Oryctolagus cuniculus: one gene and its partner. The protein of the gene in region 1 binds, or shares a complex with, the protein of each later gene. Links are inferred from orthologs where the notes say so. Each region holds a gene or a part of one and is shown in the gene's direction. Other genes may lie near its edges.

Region 1 (10,320 bases):
CGGGGTTCACGTTCCAGCTCCATTCCCACTTCCAGCTTCCTGCTGACGTGCACCCTGGGAGCACCGATGGTCCCGGTAGCTGGGTCCCCGCCCCTCATGCGGCTCCCAGCTTTGGCCCAGCCCTGGCTGCTAGGGGCATTTGAGGAACAAACCAGCAGATGGGGGGGGGTGTCTGTCTGACTCTGTCTCTCTGCCTTTTAAGTAACGTTAGAAACTGTCACAAGAGACAAGGATATTAGATGAGTCAGGTCAGGGGTCGGCACGTGGGACGCCTGCACTCCATGTCCGAGTGCCTTGTTCAAGTCCCAGCCCCTCCACTTCCGCCCAGCCCCCTGCTGATGTGCATCCCGGGAGCAGCCACTGGGGTCACGTCCTTGCATCGCAGCCAGTCATGTGGCAGATACAGATTGAGCTCTGGTCTCCTGGCTTTGGCCTGGGCTCAACCGTGGCTGTCTGGGGGAAACAGAGGAATGGAAGATTTCTTTCTCTCTACATTTCAAATAAAATGAAAATAAATAAATTTTAAAAATTTCTAGAAGGGGTCAATTCACCACGAAGACTTAAGAATTATAAATATGGAGCTGGTGTTGTGGCACAGCAGGTAAAGCCACTGCCTGTGACGCCAGCATCCCATGTGGGTGCTGGTTTGAGTCCTGGCTGTTCTACTTATGATCCAGCTCCCTGCTAATGGCCTGGGGAAGCAGCAACAGAAGACCCATGTGCTTGGGCCCCTGCACCCACGTGGGAGACCTGGAAGAAGCTCCTGGCTGCTGGCCTAGTCCTGGCTGTTGCAGCTGTCCAGGGAGTAAACCATAGGATGGAAGATCTCGATTCTCTCTGTCTCTCTGTGGCTCTCGTCAATAAATAAATAAATCTTTAAAAGGATTCATGTCTGTACCACCAAGCACCAGGGCTTCCGTGTACAGTGCAAACATGGACAGTGGGAGGCAGCGAGGTCAGCTCTGTGACAGGAGGAGCAATCAGCAGACCCGTGAGGACGAGAAGGGAGCCCAGGACGCACTCAGCACCCACGAGGAGCCCTTGGAGTCTGCTGTGCCCTAAACTTCCTAGGAAACCTGGGACTGCAGCAAAGAGAAACTGACTGTAAGTGGGCAGCGGATAACCCACAGGCATGTACTCCCAGGGTTCCGGGAGGTTCTGGCAGGTGTCCATGTGGGACTCGCTGGCTGTTTGTGGACAGTGTTCTTCTGCTGGGCTGTCTGTGGTGGAAAGGGCAAAGGCGAATCTGGCTTCTGACAAAGACCCCAGTCCCATTTCAGCTCCATCCTGAGACCCAGTCACCACAGTGACCCCGCCCACTAACACGGCTCTTGTGGGGTCAGCGTGGAACATTGGGGACACTCATGTGCACCCCACTGTGGCTAGTGGAGTTCGTTTCCTGAGCTGGGGACTGCGGGGCCGGGGACAGCTGGCCCAAGGCAGTCATGAGTTCATGAGCCAGGAGCAGCCAGGCCGAGAGGCCTCAGGATTAGCCGATGGCCTGGTTCCACTCATGAGAGTCACCCTCGTCAATGTTCCCACCGTTACCTTCGTGTTCTCGTCATGGACGGGCAAACCCAGGTCTGGAGGAAATCCACTCTGTATCAGAGGAGAGCATTGTTTTAAATCTGAGAGGCAAAGGCGGGGGTGGGGCGGCCACCCACTCGGCCAGTCCCGAATATCCACAGGGACCGGGGCTGAACCCGTTTCCCACGTGGGTGGCAGGGCCGATGCCTTAGCAGGAAGCTGCCTGCCGTCGGGATCTGAACCCAGCACTCTGGCGTGGGTCGGGGGCTTCCTAACTGGTGAGGTAACTGGAGGGGAGGGTCGAGCAGCTCGCCCTGAGTGGCGCGGTAGGTGGGTTTGTGTGAGGAGCTGGACTTGAGTGAAATCACGTGGGTCCCACTGCCCATCTTCCCTCCCAGACGCGCGCGTCCCTCACCGTGGCTGCGCCTGCCTCTCCCAGGAGCTGCCAGGCCATCTTCCTTCCCCGCCCCCACAGGGCACTCCCACCTCCTCTCTGCTTTCCTGGAGCCCAGGCCCTGGCCTCTGCCCCACCTGCTGACTGCCTCACTGCTAACCCACTTAGCCACTCCCTTCCTCTTCAGCCAGGGGCCCAGCAGAGGGGGCCGAGGGCCTGCAGGAAGCCAGCACCGCCCCAGGCCCAGGAGGCTGCACACCTGAGGGCTGTGCATGGAGACCAGGCCGGAAGAGGGCAGGGCGGCCTTCCCCACCCCCTTCTCCCGTCCTCTGACCTCCCCGTCGTCTGACCCCAAGTGGCCAGCATCCCCTGAGGGTGCTGTCCCCGGAGGTCGGGCCCCCGTGGAGGGAGGGCAGAGCCAGAGAGAAGGGAGGGGTGGGGTCCTCAGCACCTCCTCGGGCACAGCATGGGTCCGCCTGGAGCTTTCTCCCGTGGGCGCCAGGCCCAGGTGCTCCCCCGTGACAGGTGCTCGGAGCTCGTCCTGCACACCAGGAGCTCCCTGTCCACCACGCCTGCTGCCTCCCGTCCTCAGCATGGCCTCATGCACCCTCAGCGCACCAGTGAAGTGAGCCAGCACCTCTGGCTCGGGAAACTGCTCTGCTCCCTGCTGGCGTGACAGGAATCACCTCTCCGGTGGAAGCCCCAGGGCCCAAGCGAGGGCACTGGAGGGTGCTGGGCCGATTGGAGGCTCCAGCTGGGCCTAGCGTCCACAGTGCTGGCGGCCCTGGCAGGGGTGGCCTGTGTCACTCCCAGCCGGCACCTCACCCAGCCCTGCTGCAGTGGGCACTCTCCAGTGTGCCCAGGCCCGCGCCTTCTGGCCCACGTCCTCGCTCGCTCACTCTCTCAGGAGCCGGGAGCCCTGCAGGGCAGGCAGACCCGAGAGCGTGTGGGAGAGGAGCGCCTGTCACTTTCGTCTGGTAAAACGCAGAGCCCAGCATTTCTGAGCCGTGGCCGGCACCCTCAGCCGGCATGGTGCCCGTGTGCACCCAGGGCTGGACACCAGCCCCTGGGATGGGATGGCTCAACAGCGACTACGGCTCTCGCCGAGACCAGGCCTCCTGCACGGCCAGGCTCAGAGACGCAGTGTGCCCAGGGGTCAGCTCACCGCAGGGCGTGGGGTCGGCCTGCTCAAGGCTGCATCCCGGGCCCTGTAAGACATCTGCACCCGCCACCCAGAATGAGGGAGCTGCCGCCGACTGTTAGCGAGAGGCAGGCTCCCTGGCGGCTGGGTGTCCTCGAGGAGCTGCCGCTGCTGTGGGGCCCCTGGAGTCCAGCGTGGGTCACCCCGGCCTGTGGGCTCGGGAAGCTTGCTGTCCAGGCCGCTCCACGAGGCTGGGAGGGGGCTCGCTGCTGCTGAGAGTCCCTAACCCGAGTTTAGGGAAAAATAAGATCCTACAAAAGGAAGAGCGAGGGAAAGGAAGAGCGAGGAACACGCACGGCTTTTGAGGACAGAATGCAGGAGACACACTTGCAAATCGGGACTGGCGGGCGGCGGCGCGATCCCACTGCACGGAACACAGGCTTTCCCGGGACAGGAGGATTTTAGGGTTTTGATCTTAGAGGCGGGGGGACGGAGGGAGAGCGGGAGGGACTGCCCCACCCCTGGCTCACTCCCAGATGCCCACGTGGCTGTGCACCAGCCTAGCAGGGCACTCACGTGGGTGGTGGGCACCCAGCTCCTGGGCTCTCAGCACTGCCGCCCACGACTGGAGTCAGGAGCTGTCTTATTCTACTTATCTCTTTGAAAGGCAGAGGGAGAAGGAGTGTGCGAGACAGAGATCTTCAGTCTGCCCACAACAGCCAGGGCTGGGCCAGGCAGAAGCCAGGAACCAAGAACTCCATCCAGGTCCCCCATGTGGTGGCAGAGACCCAGGTACTTGAGCCATCACCTGCTGCCTCCAAGGGTGCAGATTAGGGGTCAGAGGCAGAGCTGGGCCTTGAAGCCCTGTGGGGTTCAGGTGACATGATCAGTGTCCTCATCCCTGGGCCAAACACCGCTCCCCCCAGCCCCATCAACCTTCTCTAAGGACCTACTGTGTGCTAACCAGACAGGAAGGTTTCTGCCACAAAGAAACCGAACTGCTGGCACAGAGGACAGGCTGCCAGGGTGGGGCTCTCCTGGGCAGGAGTGGGTGCAGTGGGTGTGGATGGGGTGGGACTTGGAGGTGTGCAGAGGGGTGCAGGGTGGGAGAGCCCTTGTTATGGCTGTGTGGGACTCCGTGCAGCCTGGGCTCGGGACCGGCCTCCACAGCCTGCCGCCAGCCCTAGGTGACAGCTGTGTCTGCAGGGCAGGGCCCAGTTCCACTCTCCGTGGAAAGGCTGCCTGCCCTGGCGCCCAGGAGGTGTGGAGTCGCTGGGACTCTGTGAGGAAGCCGCCGGGATGCGGAGCAGGGCTGGAGACCTCCCCTCCCCTCCCCTCCCTGCCCAGACACCTGCGCCAGCTCAGCGCCTGCCTCCACCCCTGCATCCATGCAAACCAACGCGCCCAGGACCCTGGTCTGTGCGGCACCCTCGCGCTTGGCTTGCCTCCATCTGCTACTCCTCCACGTGCACACTTGCACCTGACCCCTTCTCCTCCCTGTGCACACGCACTGGTGTACACAGCAGCCCCAGCCCCATGCACACAGGCGAGCACACAACTGGCCCCCTTTTCCATGCACACAGCAAGTGCTCTTGGCCTCCTGCCCTGCAGGTGCCTCCTCTCCACCCCCTACACCCATGTCTCGCCTCCAGCTCTGCCCCCCACCCCGGCCCCCTTGCAGCTCTGTGTGCGCACACACAGCTTGGGTCTCCTCCCACAGTCTCGCTCCGTGCATACACACACACACACACACACACACACACACACTCATGCGCGCACACACGTGGCCCCTCTGACCCGCGCGCGCATCCCTAGCGCCGGCTGGCTCCATCCCGTCCGGCGCACGCGCAGGCTCGAACACGCGCGCACGGCCCTCCCCTCCCCCAGGGCGGCAGCGCCGGCGGGAGGAGCGGGAGCAGGAGGGGCGGAGGAGGAGGAGGGCGCCGAGGAGGAGGAGGGCTCCGAAGGCGCGAAAATGCGCGCAGGCGCGCTGCGCGGAGCGGGCCCGCCGCCGCCCACGTCACCGCGCCGCGCGCACGTCACGCCGGCCCGACGCTCGGCCAGGGTGAGCCCCGCGTCCCGGCGCCGCTGGCCCAGGGCAGGGACCCCGCCAGGGCCGGGAGCGCCGCCCGGCCCCCGCCGCCCGCCCGCGCCCCGCGGCCGTGTCCCCGCGCGGCCCGCGCCCCAGACTGCGCGGCCATACCGGGCGAGCCAGGTGCGGGCGGCGGAGGATGCGGTGGGAGCCGGCGCGACGGGGCCGGGCGAGCGCGGGGCGCGGGCCACGCGGGGCGCGGGCGGGCGGCGGCCCCCGAGCTGCGTCCCCGCCGCGTGCGGGCGCCGCGCGGCCCCGGCCCTCCCGCGCCCTCCGGGCCCCGCGCGCTCCTGGGCGCCGGGGCCCCGCGCCAGGCGCCCTTGCTGCGGGCGGGGGCTCCCAGGTGACCGGGCGGGGCGGGCGGGGGTACGGGGCCTGGCCTCCGGGGCCGATGGCCGCGCCCGCGCCTTGGGGGTCGGGGTCGGGGTCGGGGCCGGGCCGCGCGGGGCGGGGCGGGAGGCGCCGCGGGGCTGGAGTGCGCGCGGTGGCTGCGGCCTAGTGACAGATCGCAGCGGGCGGGGACCCGAGAGCCCACCTGTCAGAGTTACCGGTCGGCGGCCGAGCAGCCCGGCGCGCAGCCCCTGGAGGGTCCGGGGGAAGACCTGGGAACTTGCACGTTTGGGCTGTGCCCTGTTGGGTGGTCGTGTGCGCCTAAGTGGGGGACCCAAGCCCACCCTGCGGAGGCGGGCAGCGCGCCCCGGGCTCACCGCGGTCTCGCCTCCGGACCGGCCATTTGGGGTGCGCGGGGCGGGGGGGTTCCGGGCTGCTCGCGGGGTCTGAGGGTGGCGAGCGCTGCGAGAGCCTTGCGTCCAGGCTCTAGCGAGAAATCTCAGCCGCCAGGCCCTCGTGCAGGCGGGGGAGACGTCTCCTTTAAAGTGGGACATCTTGTAAACTTAGTTTTTCATCCTTGCTCATTTTTCTTTTTTCTCTCTCTTTTTTTTTTTTTTAACCAGAAAAGTCTTTTCTTCCTTGGAGAGTGAATGTTGATAGCATTGGTTTCCTGGACCTGGTAACATGGCAAAAGATGTGAGTACCTTTGCTTAATGCTCAAACACCTGTGCCTGGCACCAGCCCCTCCTGTTTGTGCCTTTGTCAGAGGGGCAAAACCTGAGTTATTAGTATTTCCTGGCTTTTTAAGAGAGGTTGGTTTGTTTATTTGGAAGGGTGAGAGACAGAGGGAGAGCTTCCATTAGCCGGTTCACTCCCCAGATGGCCATATGGCCACATAGCCACATCTGGGTCGGGCCAAAGCCAACAGTTTCATCTGGGTCTCCCAGCCTGATGACAGAGGCCCAGGCAGTTGGGCCATCTTCTGCCCTCCCAGGCGCATTAGCAGGAAGCTGGAGCAGAAGCAGAGCAGCCGGGACTTGAACTGGTGCTCCTATGGGATGCTGGCATTGCAGGTGCCCACTGAACCCTCTGCGTGCCACAATACCATCCCCTTCTCGGTAACTTTTTAAAGTTGGGTGGAGAAATAGGCTCTTAGGTCCAAGAATGAACTGAGTTTCCCATCATGCCGTCAGATTCCCTGAAACGCGGGGTCTTTGCACACTGGTGCAGACGGGCTGCGTGCTCGTCTCCTGCATAGAGCTGGAAGCAGGCTGGTCCTGCTGCCTCTGTGCGCGACTGCAGGTTGGGTGGCTTTGGAGCGCCTTCTGTCAGCTCAGATTTCCCGAACTTCCTGAGCCGCGTCCTCTGTCTGTGCCGGTCAGGGGCTCCCTGTCCTCGGATGCAGGCCTGCGCAGGGAGGCGCGCAGCCCTCCGGGCGCTGTGTGCAGGGTTTTGGTTTGATGTTCATTTTAAAACTGCTGTCATTTGGTTGGTGCCATCACTCCTGGAGGTGCCAACATGTGGCAGGTGCCCCGAAGCAGCTGGACTCCCACAGTTGCCCAGAAAGGGTGGTGCCAGACCCATGCCCAGCCGCATGCTTCTGGTTTCTGGACCAGTTTGCTCTCGTCTCTTTAAATGCTTAGATACTCACTGATGTCATCTTCGAAGCCCTTTGTGGTTCCACGTTGGTGTGGCTGGCACCGTCTGTGTGGCACGGAGAGAGGCGTGGGAGGGAAGGACAGACAGGTGCTGGAGGAGGGGGACCCCGCCACCCCAGCAAGGTCGCCGGGCCAGGGCACGGGCTGTGCTGGCCCCCTAGCTGGTCATCGTTGCATTTGAAGGACTCGGAGTGTGTGCTGTTGGGAGGTGGCAGGGTCTCACGGGCTGAGGAGTGGCTGTGGGGCAGACTGGCAAGGTGGCCTCCGTGTTCTACAGACAAGGGCTGTGCTGGTCCCGTGGCTGGTGACGCTGCTTTCTTGTCATCCACGTGCTCTTAGGCGGTGGCAGGGTCTCACGGGCTGAGATGCAGCTGGCAGGGCAGAATGGCAGGGTGGCCTCCGTGTTCTGCAGACAAGAAGTCAGGGTGTCGGGGACAAGCTGGAAATGGAGGCTGTGGGCAGGTGATGCTGGAGGGTGGATGGGCGACCAGCAAGGGTGAGGGCCCGTGGGGGGCCAGTGGCTGTGTTGTGCACAGGTTGCCTGATGAGGTTGTTGCAGAGTGGGCCCTCTGGTGTGAATTGAGGGGCCCAGAGCCCGCTGGGGGCCCCTAAGCTAGTTTTTGGTGCCCCCTGCTCATCTCATGCGGTGATTTCTGCGGTCATGAGCAGCTTCTGATCGCACAGGCCTCTGTGTGGCCTCTGGGGTGTGTGTGAGGAACGATGGTCTCTGTTCGTCCTCGTCATCCTGTGAGCCCTTTCTGGGCCCGTGGGCCGGGAGGGTGCGTGCTGGCCACAGCCTGTGGTGGCTGCTCCGGGGTGACGGGTACATCAGGGCCGACAGGAAGGAGATGCACTTGGCACCTGCAGGGCTGCCTGAGGGGCTGGCACAGGACTGGGCAGATGGCACTCGACCTGTCTCTTCTCTCGTGGGTATGCATCTTGTGCCCTCTTTTCTGGTTCTTAAATACAAATACGTGCCTATGTGAAAGGAATCTGGTGAAAACCTTGCCGTTGTCTTGTAATAAACACGGAGCTCTGTGACTCCCAGCCGTGTCTGCACACAGCCCTGTGTGTGACGGTTGCAGGTACCCGCATCAGGGTACTTCTCTTGTGAGCTGTCTGTGTGCCCCTCACCCAGGTGCAGTTAAGCAGGCCGCTCCCTGGGCTGTCGCGTTGTGGAGCGATTCCGGTGCTTGGAGATCCTTGTGGCTCTGAGAATGCAAGGGAAATGGGTGCGGGGGTGCAGGGAGGGGAGGGAGGGTGTCAGGGACGCGTCCCTTCCTGTGAGGCGCCGTGTCTGTGCTGGGCCCTGCCTCCCTGGGTTTTGCCTCTGACATTCATTTATGGAGTAGCACTGACACATGTCCCAGGGAGGTGCCCTGTGTGGAGGGGGACTTGGAAGAGAGACACAGCAGCCCCCACAGTGAAGTGACGGAGACCCGAGTCTCATTTCGCCCCAGAAATTGAACAGGAGGGAGTCGCCTTCTGCTATGGGCATTTGGGGCAGGAATTTCCATGTTAGGGGAACCGTTCATTCCCAAGCCTGCGTAGTGACAGCAGGGGCCTGGGTCAGCCCTTCCTTTCCTCTGTGTTCACGCTGGGGGTCCACGCGGCCTGAGCAAGTTCCCAAGCTGTCACCCTAAAGGGTCTGCCCAGCTGCTCACCAGGGGGGCAGCAGGTGCTTGGACCGTTCCCCAGAGCACACTGCAGAGGGGCTGGGAGCAGCGGAGGCACCTGGCCCGGGAGGGGCCTTGGGTGGGGCCGTGGCAGGGAAAGGTGAGGGCTCTCTCTGGAGGTCACAGCCCATGCTTCCTGCCCCCGGAGGAGTGAGCCCTTGGAGGGGCCAGGCATGGGCCTCCCTCCCTGCTGCCCCTCTGGCGAGGCTGTGTTCTCAGCACTCGGCTGGCCTCAGGAAAGTCTGCAGGTGGAGAGGGAGGATACACGTGAATGTGCATTGTGGGGCTGTGTCAGGGTGCTGCCCCACCCCTCAGCCTGTGTGTGCCCCAACAAAGCCATGCTGTGCGCTGAGAGCCATCTGTCCAGCGGTCTGCAGGCTCTGCGGGTTTGGAGTCCTCTGCGGGTGGGAAGAGTTCGGAAGACATTGTATCAGAACTGAACAGGTACAGGTTTCCCCATTGTTACTTCCTAAACAATACAATATGAGGAGCGCCCTCCCAGGGCGTTTACATTGTATTAGATTCTCTGTACCTGGAGGGCCTGTGGGCGCCTTTGCAAGTTCTCCACAGCTCTTACAGCCGGGACTTGGGCATTGTGGGTTTTGAGCTCCACTGGGGCCCTGGAACCAACCCCGGTGGATGCTGGGGGATGATGCTGGCCCAGGGCAGAGCCGGACTATGTGGGTCCCTCTCAGCACCCGTGTCTCATTTCTGGAGGCCGCTTTGTGATGCCGGTTTCCGCCCCGGGAGTTTACGGGACAATCCCTCCATAGTGATGTTGGAAGCTGGAGACCCGAGAGACGCAGCCGGGTTCTCTGCTGAGGCCTGGGTCCCTGCCTGCGACTGCTGGGGAGCAGGGACCGCCCCCTTCAGGCTTGGAGGAGGTGAGTTCCGGAGACAAATGCCAATTCATGATCCCAGCCTTAGAGGAGAGGGCTTTGTGTGTGAGGTGCGGGGCAGTGAGGTCAGCTGCTGGGCTCAGCGTGGGAGAAGTCTCCCAGGGCGCTTGTTCTTAGACAGCTTTTCATGTTGCAGAATTCGTGTTTTCTTTTTCTTTATTTTTGTAAAAAAGATTTATTTATTTATTTGAATGGCAGAGTTTACAGAGAGAGAGAGAAAGGTCTTCCATCTGCTGGTTCAAGCCCCAATTGGCTGCAATGGCCAGAGCTGGGCCAGTCCAAAGCCAGGAGCGAGGAGCTCTTGTGTGGGTCTCCCACATGGGTGCAGGAGCCCAAATATATGGGTCATCTTCCACTGCTGTCCGGCCATTAGCAGGGAGCTGGATGGGCCGAGACAGGAACCTGCGCCCATGCAGGATGCTGGTGTCTCGGGCAGTGGCTTTACTCACTGCACCACATCACTGGCTCCTGAATTGAGCATTCTACATGGGTGAGCTTGGAGAAACTGAGCCGATATTAAAAATTAGAAAAACCACAGCTTAATTAGAAGTGTTTCCCCATAACGTTTTTTTTTTTTTTTAAAGAGTTATTCATTTATTTGAA
Region 2 (9,786 bases), on another chromosome or scaffold:
TTCATTGGGAGTTTGTAAAATGCAATTATTTCAGAGTATTACAAATGTGTACATAATACAGAAGTCTCCCCCAACCCCTCTTGCTTTCCAAAGAGCCAGATTCCTGAGATACAGGTTTTTTTTTTTTTTGTTTGTTTTGTTTTGTTTTGTTTTGTTTTGTTTTTAGGTTTCAAACAAAATAAGACTGCCATTAGGCGAGAATGTGAACAGAGACTAAGATAGGAAGTGACATGCTTAGACAATTAGTAGCTCTTCCTCAGGATTAGTCCCTAAAGTATTCTTATTGTACTCTTATTTTTGAGGGCTTTGTGTCATGACCTTAACTTTTCTGTCCCATTCCAACATCTGCTGCCTTTTAAATGGAATAATTTCTTTGGTATTTGCAGTGTTTTGAACATACCCAGCTATTGTTCTCAAGCAACTGACTGGGTCAAATTTGGGATTGGGCATTCAAGCTGTGGACTTAATAATCAACCCTTTTTGGCTTTAAAATATGATTTGCTCTTTATTTTGTTGCTCTCTATGTTTTCTTTGTTTCCCTAAGCAGGCTGCAGACACTTTGGCTGTGAGGCAAAAAAGAAGAATTTATGATATCACCAATGTCTTAGAAGGAATTGATCTCATTGAAAAAAAGTCAAAAAATAGTATCCAGTGGAAGTAAGTTATGATTCAGGATTCTCTTCTAAAACATTTGTTTTTTCCCACTGCTGAGTAAAATTTGACTTTCTAACATTTATCCCTCTTAAGTCCTCTATTTCAGCCCTCTGGTCACAGCAGGTCCCTCATTTTCCCTTGGATACACTTCTTTGAGCCCTTGTATAAGTCACCCCTGCATTGAGATGTTCCCATGCTCTCTCGGCTGTCTAGTTTAAACTTTTCTCTTTTTTTAGATTTATTTATTTATTTGAAAGAGTGAAGGAGTCTTCCATCCTCTTGTTCACTGCCCAAATGGCCCTAAAGTCTAGAGCTGGGCCAGTACAAAGCCAGGAGTTTCTTCTGGGTCTGCCACTGGGTAGCAGGGGCTGCAGGGCTTGGGCCATCCTCTGCTGCTTTCCCAGGTGCGTTAGCAGGGAGCAAGATTGGAAGTGGAGCAGCCGGGACCTGAACTGGAATCTATACGGGATACAGGAATTGGCTTTACCCGCTATTCCACAACCCAGGCCCCTAATTTAAACTCTTAAATTTCAGATCTTGGGGCTAGCGCTGTGGCACTAGCATCCCAATATGGGTGCTGGTTCAAGTCCTGGCTGCTCCACTTTCAATCCAGCTCCCTGCTATTAGGCTTGGGAAAGCAGTGGAAGATGGCCCAAGTGCTTGGGCCCCTGCACCCACATGGGAGACCCAAAAGAAGCTCCTGGTTCCTGGCATTGGATCAACTCAGCTCTGGCCATTGGAGCCATTTGGAGAGTGAACCATTGGATGGAAGACCTCCCTCTTTCTCTCTTTCTATAACTGTCTTTCAAATAAATAAAAATAAAACTTAAAAAAAAAGTTCAGATCTTATTTTCTCCCTCAGGCTACTCATTTGGCGTACACCATATACATACTGCTTTGTATTATAAACCCCTGAATAACTTTTCACCCTACAGATAGAAACTCCTGACAGTAAGAACTGTCTTACACATGGAAATGTGTACCTTAAATAATAATTGAGTGAAATGCGAGCCGTAATTTATTAACTGTTGCATGGTTGTATATTTGAATGTGCCAAGTACTTTATTTTTAGCCACAATTTCACCAAAATGCTGAAAGGTTGTAATGTATTTTATGAGGATCTCAGACTCTTATCTGCTAGGTGTGACCCTATCACTCTGACATCCTTTTGGCACCTGAGTCACCAGGCTGATCCTCCAGGTGACAAAAAGCACTCTAGAGCAGGTTGTGAACTTTTGTAATTTGTTTGTTGTCAATACATTTTGTAAGCAAATATATCCAGAAATTATCATGTTTAAATTTTGTGAGAATTGTAATGTCTTTAGAAAAATATAGATTTTTGCCTCATATGTTACTGCATAAGTCAGTTATACAGAGATTAAGTGATGCAAATGGATCTGATTTGGAGGATATCAATTTTCATATGTTTTTAAGAGGTGTAGGTGCTGGCTGTAATACTAAAGAAGTCATAGATAGATTGAGATTTCTTAAAGCTGAAATTGAAGATTTAGAACTGAAGGAAAGAGAACTTGATCAGCAGAAGTTGTGGCTGCAGCAAAGCATCAAAAATGTGATGGATGACTCCATTAATAATAGATATCCTTTTAAATAAACTAGTTACACATGTACATATAGCTATAGGGTATATATATATTTATAATATATCTTCCGATCTGAAACTCAGTTACTTTATTCTAGTGATTCTAAAGAGTTAAGTGTTGTAAATGAATATAACATTTCAATTTCATAATACTTTTAGTAATTTATAAGAATATTTTACCTATTTTTTTTTCATTAAGTCTCATGTTTCATTTGAGGGGAAAAAACGATTAATATACCTTCAGTCTACCCATTGGTATGATGCAATATGCTAACCAAAGAGTGTTTGGGGGGGGGTCTGTGATTGTTAGAAGTCATTGTTAAGTGCATGGGCATTTTTAAAGAATCATGTTGAATGTTCTGAAATAGTAAAAACAGCAACTTTCAAAGTTTGAAAAATCAGTTTTGGTTTTAAGAGGAAATACTATGGGTTCAGTGTCAATCACAGGTGCTTTTTGTCCATATTAGCCTAAAGATAGCTTCTCCTGGACTGCAGGAGACCACGGCTTGCATATGTATCACATTATATTAGGGAAAAACACTGATACTCCTTGGGTTTCTTCTAAACCATTCTGTTCTTTTAGATACTTGTAATTCTTTTGGTTTATGAATTCACTTTGACTTTTTTTTTTTAAGATTTATTTCTGGGTCTGGCACTGTGGTGTAGTGGATAAAGCTGCCACCTGCAGTGGCGGCATTCCATATGGGTGCCAGTTCGAGTCCCAGCTGTTCCACTTCCAATCTAGCTCTCTGCTGTGGCCTAGGAAAGCAGTAGAAGAGGGCCAAAGTCCCTGTGCCCTTGCACCCGCATGGGAGACCAGGAAGAAGCTCTTGGCTTCCTATTGGCCCAGCTCTCGCCATTGCGGCCATTTAGGGAGTGAACCAGTGGATGGAAGACTTCTCTCTTTCTCTCTCTGTAACTCTGCCTTTCAAATAAATAAATAAATCTGGCTGCAATGGCCAGAGTTGGGATGATCTGAAGCCAGGAGCCAGGAGCCTCTTCTGAGTATCCCATGTGAGTGAAGGGGCCTAAGTCCCTGGGCCATCCTCTGCTGGTTTCCTAGGCCATTAGCAGGGAGCTGGATCAGAAGTGGAGCAGCAGCAGTTTACTGCAGCCAGCGCCCATATGGGATGTTGGCATTGCAGGCTTAACCTGTTACTCCACAACGCCAGCCCCTTTCATTCTTATGGAGACTTTAACCACATTTTATCTTGTACCATTTCTCATGAATTTTTGACCAACATATACAATATTGTGTTTTTCATGTTGTCATGGATTTGGTAAGTTAGTTCCTAATCCCTTTTTTATGGCTCGAAGCTTCCTAACAGTTTGAGAACCATGTAGATTTTCAAGCTGTGGCCTGTAGTGCCCCAAGATTCAAAAACCCTGAACTAGCTGACTTAGACTGTGCTGCTCAGCGTTACAGGATTCTGGCCATTCCCAGTTCCCCAAATCTTAATGGTACACACAACACACACAGGGACCTTTAAAAAGTTCTTAGAAGGCCGGTGCCGCGGCTCACTAGGCTAATCCTCCGCCTTGCGGCGCCGGCACACCGGGTTCTAGTCCCGGTTGGGGCGCCGGATTCTGTCCCGGTTGCCCCTCTTCCAGGCCAGCTCTCTGCTGTAGCCAAGGAGTGCAGTGGAGGATGGCCCAGGTGCTTGGGCCCTGCACCCCATGGGAGACCAGGAAAAGCACCTGGCTCCTGGCTCCTGCCATCGGATCAGCGCGGTGCGCCGGCCGCAGTGCGCCGGCCGTGGCGGCCATTGGAGGGTGAACCAATGGCAAAGGAAGACCTTTCTCTCTGTCTGTCTCTCTCACTGTCCACTCTGCCTGTCAAAAAAAAATAAAAAAAATTAAAAAAAAATTTTAAAAAAGTTCTTAGAAATATGGAATTAAAAGGTGTTTATTTTGGCGCAAAAAAATAGAAATCCATACATAATTAATCATGTGCACTTTCCATGAATTTTTTGAAGATACCTTGTGTATGTTTTATGCACACACATACGCGTACACACACACACACTTAGTTTTCTGTATATTAGCGCATACACACACAGTTTTCTGTGTATTATGCTCTGAAATCTCATAACACCTTTCTGGCTGGGGAGAGCCTGCCCCCTGGGGTAGCCAATTCTTTGGAAGTATCAAAGGTCCAGCTAGCAGCAGGTCTTCGATACACAGCGTAACCATTCCAGAGCCATGCTCCTCTCTGTGCCCTTACACCCAGGAAGCAGTATTTCTCTGCCTTAATCAGCCCATGGCCAGATACCAGACAGAACCCATTCCTGAAGCTTAGAACCCACCAAAACCATTCAAATCAATCAGTTCTGAAGTGTTCACCCTACTCTGCCTTGTTTTCTTCCATGGAAACCCCAGTTGGGTTTTGGCTTAATGCTTTCCCTGACTCCTGTCTTCTGCCTTGTGCCCACTCTGGTGTCTTTCATGTGTGGCCTGCATCCCTTCTGTCTGCAGGACCAGTGAGTATTGTTTTCCTGAGCCTCTCCATAGCTGTACCACTCTGAGCATATTGTAAAACAACACAAAACAGTGACCCAAGAAGATGCTCAGTGTGGAAGGTCATTGCTGTCCACTCCTGCTGATGGCCTCTTTCTCCCCTGTCCATCACTTCTCTCCAGAAGCCCATGCCTCCATGAGGAATGCACTGTTTTCCCTCTCTCCCAAGGGTCTGAAGGTATCACGGCAATCAGAATGGCTTCTTTTCAGAGCAGAGGTTCAGTATTCCTCCTAGGGATCTTTGATTGCTTTTGCTTTTTGTTTTTTTAAACTGGGCATGTGTAGCCCCTTCATGCATTTGGCTATTTAGTTATTTTTGGCCTTCAGATATATTACCTTAATTTAAATGCATAGACCTTGATACAAATGCTATTCCTTAACTCCTATGACAGTACATTTTCCTATGTAACTCATGAAGACATCTGTAATTGCTTTAATGGTAAGTACTGTTAGACTTTTTCTCATGTTTCCTCTGATCAGCTTATTAAATATAGAGTGATTCAGATTCCACATACCCTCAGCCTCAGTCATTATTTTCAGGAGTTGTGGACATTTGTCTCACTCTGCAGTGCTGTGTATTGATAGCTACTCTTGTTTCTGTTTTTATCACAACAACTGCTTTGACAGCTTTCATTTCATCACCTGTATTGGTAGGCATAAATTGAGCTTGCGAGGGGAAGGTGGAGAGGCAGCAGAGAGGAAGAGAAATCAGAGCAGGATTCAGCAACAGCTTCACAGCCAGAATCAGTGGCCAGTCCTTAACCAGAGCACGCCTTTCAGGAGCACTATTTTTGCAACCATATACGCCAAGTGTGTTGGCCATAGTGCAATCCAAAACATAGGGAAAATTTAGGTGGCTGATTTTTATAACCATGAAAGTTCTTCCTAATCCTATTCCATCCCCTTCCTCATTTTTCTCCCCTTGAAGTGACAGTGTTCAGTATTAATTTTAAAAATGAGGGGGGTGGAATAAATTCTCGTAATTATAACACAAGTAAAATGAAAGCCTACACACATTTTTATTTAATAAAGCATACTTCTAGTAAAAGGACAGCCCTGTGTTTTAACCCCATAACCAAAAAAAAAAAAAGAAAAGAAAAAAAAAAATCCCGGCAAGAGCTCTTATCAAATGTAGTCTGGCTTTTCAGGTAAGACTGCTGGAAATATGTGTGAACTCACTGCTGTATTTTTCCACCGTGATTCCCAAGCTTTCTAAGAAAGTTGAAGGAAAGTTTTTTTAACCTGCAACCCAACAGATCTGTTATAGGCATGGGTTTCAAGAATAAATTCACCTACCCTCTAGATTTCAGGCTATCTCACCTAATCTCCAGTATCATAAATCATTTAAGTGGTTTAAATATTTCAAGTAAACATTATTATTTAATTGAGGCTAAACAGTTTAAAGAACCATAGCTTTTACAGGAGGTAAACTGAAAGCAAAATCAACTTGAGCTGTTTATGAATGAGAATAGTAGAACTAACATTGAGTATTTACTGTGTCCTAAGAGCTATTAAAATAAGTTATCTCCTTTAATCCTCAAAATGAGCCTGTGCAGTAAATCGTGTATCCCCCTTACAGAATTTAAAAGTTAAGGTCACCCAGCCTGGTTTTTAGACCCAAACATTCTGACTCCAGAGCCCATGTTCTTGGCACTGTATTCCATGATCAATAGCATTTACTATATATTTTATATTTGTGTTTTTGATTAGGTGATACACTTTTGGCCATTCAGGCACCTTCTGGTACGCAGCTGGAAGTACCTATTCCAGAAATGGTAGGATAATCCGTATCAATGGGAAAAATAGTTGGTCTCAAGAGATGCTTTCTTTAGCTCAATGTGAGCTATTTATTTATAAACAATTTTAAGTTACTGCACATTATTTGAAAGTTTTAATATCTGAATTTGTCTCCTGTACTTTGGTAGAATTATTGAAGTGAATAAATGTACTATTTGATGTTTTCTTTACAAGTTTTTGTTTTATTTTTATTTGAAAGGCAGTTACAGAGAAGGAAAAACATAGATCTTCCATCTGCTGGTTCACTCCCCACATGGCTTCAAATGCCAGGGCTGGGTCAGGCCAAAGGCAGAAGCCAGAAACTTCTTCCAGGTCTCCCACATGGGTGCAGGGGCTTAAGCACATGGGCCATCTGCTGCTGCTTTCCCAGATGCATTTGCTGGGAGTTGGATAGTAAGTGGAACAGCCAGGACTCCATATTGGTGTTGCAGGTGGTGGGTTAATGTGCTACACTACAACACTGGCCCCAAGTTTTTGTTTTTAATTTGACCTTATTAGGGCTAGAGGATATCAAGGGATGAGTAATGACGTTTACAATAATCTTTAAAAATCAATTAAAATGACTACATCTGTAACTGTTAAAAAAAAAATCCTGGGGCTGCAACTGTGGCGCTGTGATGTAGTAGGTAAAGCCACTGCCTGCAGTGTTGGCATCCCATATGGGCGCCGGTTTGTGTCCTAACTGCTCTGCTTCCAATCCAGCTCTCTGCTATGGCCTGGGAAAGCAGTAGAAGATGACCCAAGTCCGTGGGCCCCTGCACCTGTGTGGGAGACCCAGAAGAAGCTCCTGACTCCTGGTTTTGTATCGGCCCAGCTCAGGCCATTGCAGCCATCTGGAGAGTAAACCAGTGGTTGGAAGACTTCTCTCTCTCTCTGCCTCTGCCTCTGCCTCTCTGTAACTCTGCCTTTCAAATAAATAAAAAAATCTTTAAAAAAAAAAAATCCTACAGGAAGAGGTTCAACTTAAATATCAACAAGTAATTGCTTTAAATTAGGTCTTTTAAAAAATGTTTTCTGGGTTATTGAGTTAAAGACCTTTACTAATTCTGTGCTATATATGTCATAATTTTAGTGTTTAGGTTTGTAGTTCCCAAAACTGAGTTTAAAGCTCTACCAACCAAAAAAAAAAAAAAAAAAAAAGGAAAAAGATAACTGTATCATCTGACCTCTCACCCATCCTATTGGTTTGTATTTAGGCATTATTATTTATATCACTAAATTCTAAAGCCCCAGGACACAAATTACTTTTCTTGAAATGGAAGGGTTTTATCCTTACATCTCTGTAGAAAAAGTCAGTTGTCTTTGTACTTGCCGAATGGAAATGAGTTTTGATTTGTGAAGTAGCTATAAATTAAGACAGCATGTTGAGATGAACACACTCACCATGGGCAAGTCCAGGGATGGAAGTTCATGTACAAAGAATACTTGCAGTGCGCCATGAGCACACACAAAGCAGATAGTTGCCAGGATTCTACAGCTGAAAGTTTTTATAATTAGAATTTGAGGCAAGCTTACTATTTATGGGCAAATGTTTTAGAATACTGTAGACCCTACAGTATTCCACTCTGCTCTTGGTCTCTACACTTGTATTTTGACTTAATGACTTTGTCGTGTGAATTTAGTCTTTAATAAAGCTTTGCCTATCTTGTTTTTCATGTTTCAAGGTAGCTAGAAATGTTAATAATTATTCTTGTTTATACCCAATAATTTCAAAGGGTCAGAATGGACAAAAGAAATACCAGATCAATCTAAAGAGTCATTCAGGACCTATTCACGTGCTGCTTATAAATAAAGAATCCAATTCATCTAAGCCCGTGGTGTTTCCCATTCCCCCACCTGATGACCTCACACAGCCTTCTTCCCAGTCCTCCACTCCAGTGACCCCACAGAAATCCACCGTGGCAGCTCAGCACCCGCCTGAGCAACCTGCCTCTGAAAGAAGCCAGAGTCTCCAGCAGACACCAGCTACAGACATAGCCTCAGGTAGGTTCAGGTCCTTTGTTTAAAAGATTAGAGGGGAAAATATATGAATCCTGTGTGAAGGGAGTTGGAAAGCTTTCCTGAACTTGTCATTGGTGATACTATCCAGTTACCTAATACAGGAGGCAAAATAGTACAATGTTTTTTCAACAGTATTACTCTAGTGTCTATAGCACTGGGATAGATATGAGGAAGATTTTAAGAGATCCTATCTACAATCCTGTAGATTTGTATTTGTGAGAGGAGGTTCCAAAAGTTCATGGAAAATGCATCTTTTTGGTTCATTATCACGAACTTTTTGAGGCTGCCCCATATGTGTGTATGTGTATTTGTGAAATACACAAATCAGAAATAACCAGATACAAGGTAACGTGGCTGAGACTGTGTGTTAAACAGTGAATACTTAGCAAGGGAAAGATGTTTATGGGCCAAAGGTGGCTGTTTTCCTTAGGATTCTATTTCTTGGTTAGCTAAGTCAAATTTGTTGCCTTTTCTTTCTTATTCACATGTTAGCTTTTATCTGAGGTTCACCTTTCTAAGGCTTTTTTATTTCGTAATAAGTATAGGATAAATGATTGAAACGTGTTGTTGTAACTGCCCTTACAAAAAAGTATAGAATTCATGCCTCTTTCCCTACCTTGTTATATTTTGTTGAGAAACTTAGTTTATGAGTGGATAAATGGTCCCAACTCCAATTATTTAGGATATCTTGCTTTCCTATATTATTTCCATCTATGAAATGACAAATAATCAAAACACTAAAAATTGGGCATGCGGAGTAGGTACCACAATTCTTGAATTTATAAATGTTTCATTGGCACACAATTATTTCTCCTGGTTCCAACGGTTGGCATTTAGCAACTCCTTACTGATTCCAAACAAAGGGAGCATGGTACAGAGTCTTTCGACTGCTGAGTGAATGAATGAATGAATGAATGATGGTGTTAATAAAGATGACACACTGCAGATCATTAACAACTGTATAGTACATATTCCAAATTCTTTTTAAGATTTACTTATTCATTCATTTGAAAGGCAGGGTTATAGAGAGGCAGAGGCAGACACAGAGAGTCTTCCATCTGCTGGTTCACTCCCCAGTTTGCCACAGTGGCTGGAGCTGTGCCGATCCAAAGCCAGGAGCCAGGAGCTTCTTCCTGGTCTCATACCCAGGTGCAGGGGCCCAAGAACTTGGGTCATCTTCTACTGATTTCTCAGGCCATAGCAGAGAGCTGGTTCGG

What was found.
Region 2: the proteins of TFDP1 (region 1) and E2F5 are in contact, whole or in part, in a crystal structure (PDB 5TUV), measured with the Homo sapiens proteins. The link is inferred for Oryctolagus cuniculus from reciprocal best matches to the Homo sapiens genes TFDP1 and E2F5. Residues at the interface, in NP_009042.1 of Homo sapiens: Glu201, Cys202, Leu205, Glu208, Arg209, Arg212, Leu213, Arg215, Ile216, Lys219, Gln220, Leu223, Leu226, Ile227, Gln230, Phe233, Leu236, Val237, Arg239, Asn240, Arg241, Arg249, Pro253, Ser255, Val256, Ile257, His258, Leu259, Pro260, Phe261; in NP_001942.2 of Homo sapiens: Val126, Arg129, Leu130, Lys134, Glu136, Ile137, Leu140, Glu141, Glu144, Leu147, Asp148, Gln150, Lys151, Leu154, Gln155, Ser157, Ile158, Val161, Met162, Ile166, Asn167, Asn168, Arg169, Phe170, Ser171, Tyr172, Val173, Thr174, His175, Asp177.

The regions. Positions count from the first base shown.
Region 1 is NC_091440.1:498,192-508,511, reverse strand, and holds the start of TFDP1 (transcription factor Dp-1), read left to right. Parts: upstream 1-5,045; 5' UTR 5,046-5,127; intron 5,128-5,138; exon of another isoform or gene 5,139-5,277; intron 5,278-5,473; exon of another isoform or gene 5,474-5,497; intron 5,498-5,870; exon of another isoform or gene 5,871-5,892; intron 5,893-6,107; 5' UTR 6,108-6,168; coding exon 6,169-6,180; intron 6,181-10,320. UniProt on the Homo sapiens protein: Can stimulate E2F-dependent transcription.
Region 2 is NC_091437.1:110,690,156-110,699,941, forward strand, and holds part of E2F5 (transcription factor E2F5), read left to right. Parts: intron 1-547; coding exon 548-657; exon of another isoform or gene 658-1,058; intron 1,059-1,267; exon of another isoform or gene 1,268-1,969; coding exon of another isoform or gene 1,970-2,088; coding exon 2,089-2,250; intron 2,251-5,166; coding exon 5,167-5,210; intron 5,211-6,481; coding exon 6,482-6,546; intron 6,547-8,283; coding exon 8,284-8,551; intron 8,552-9,786.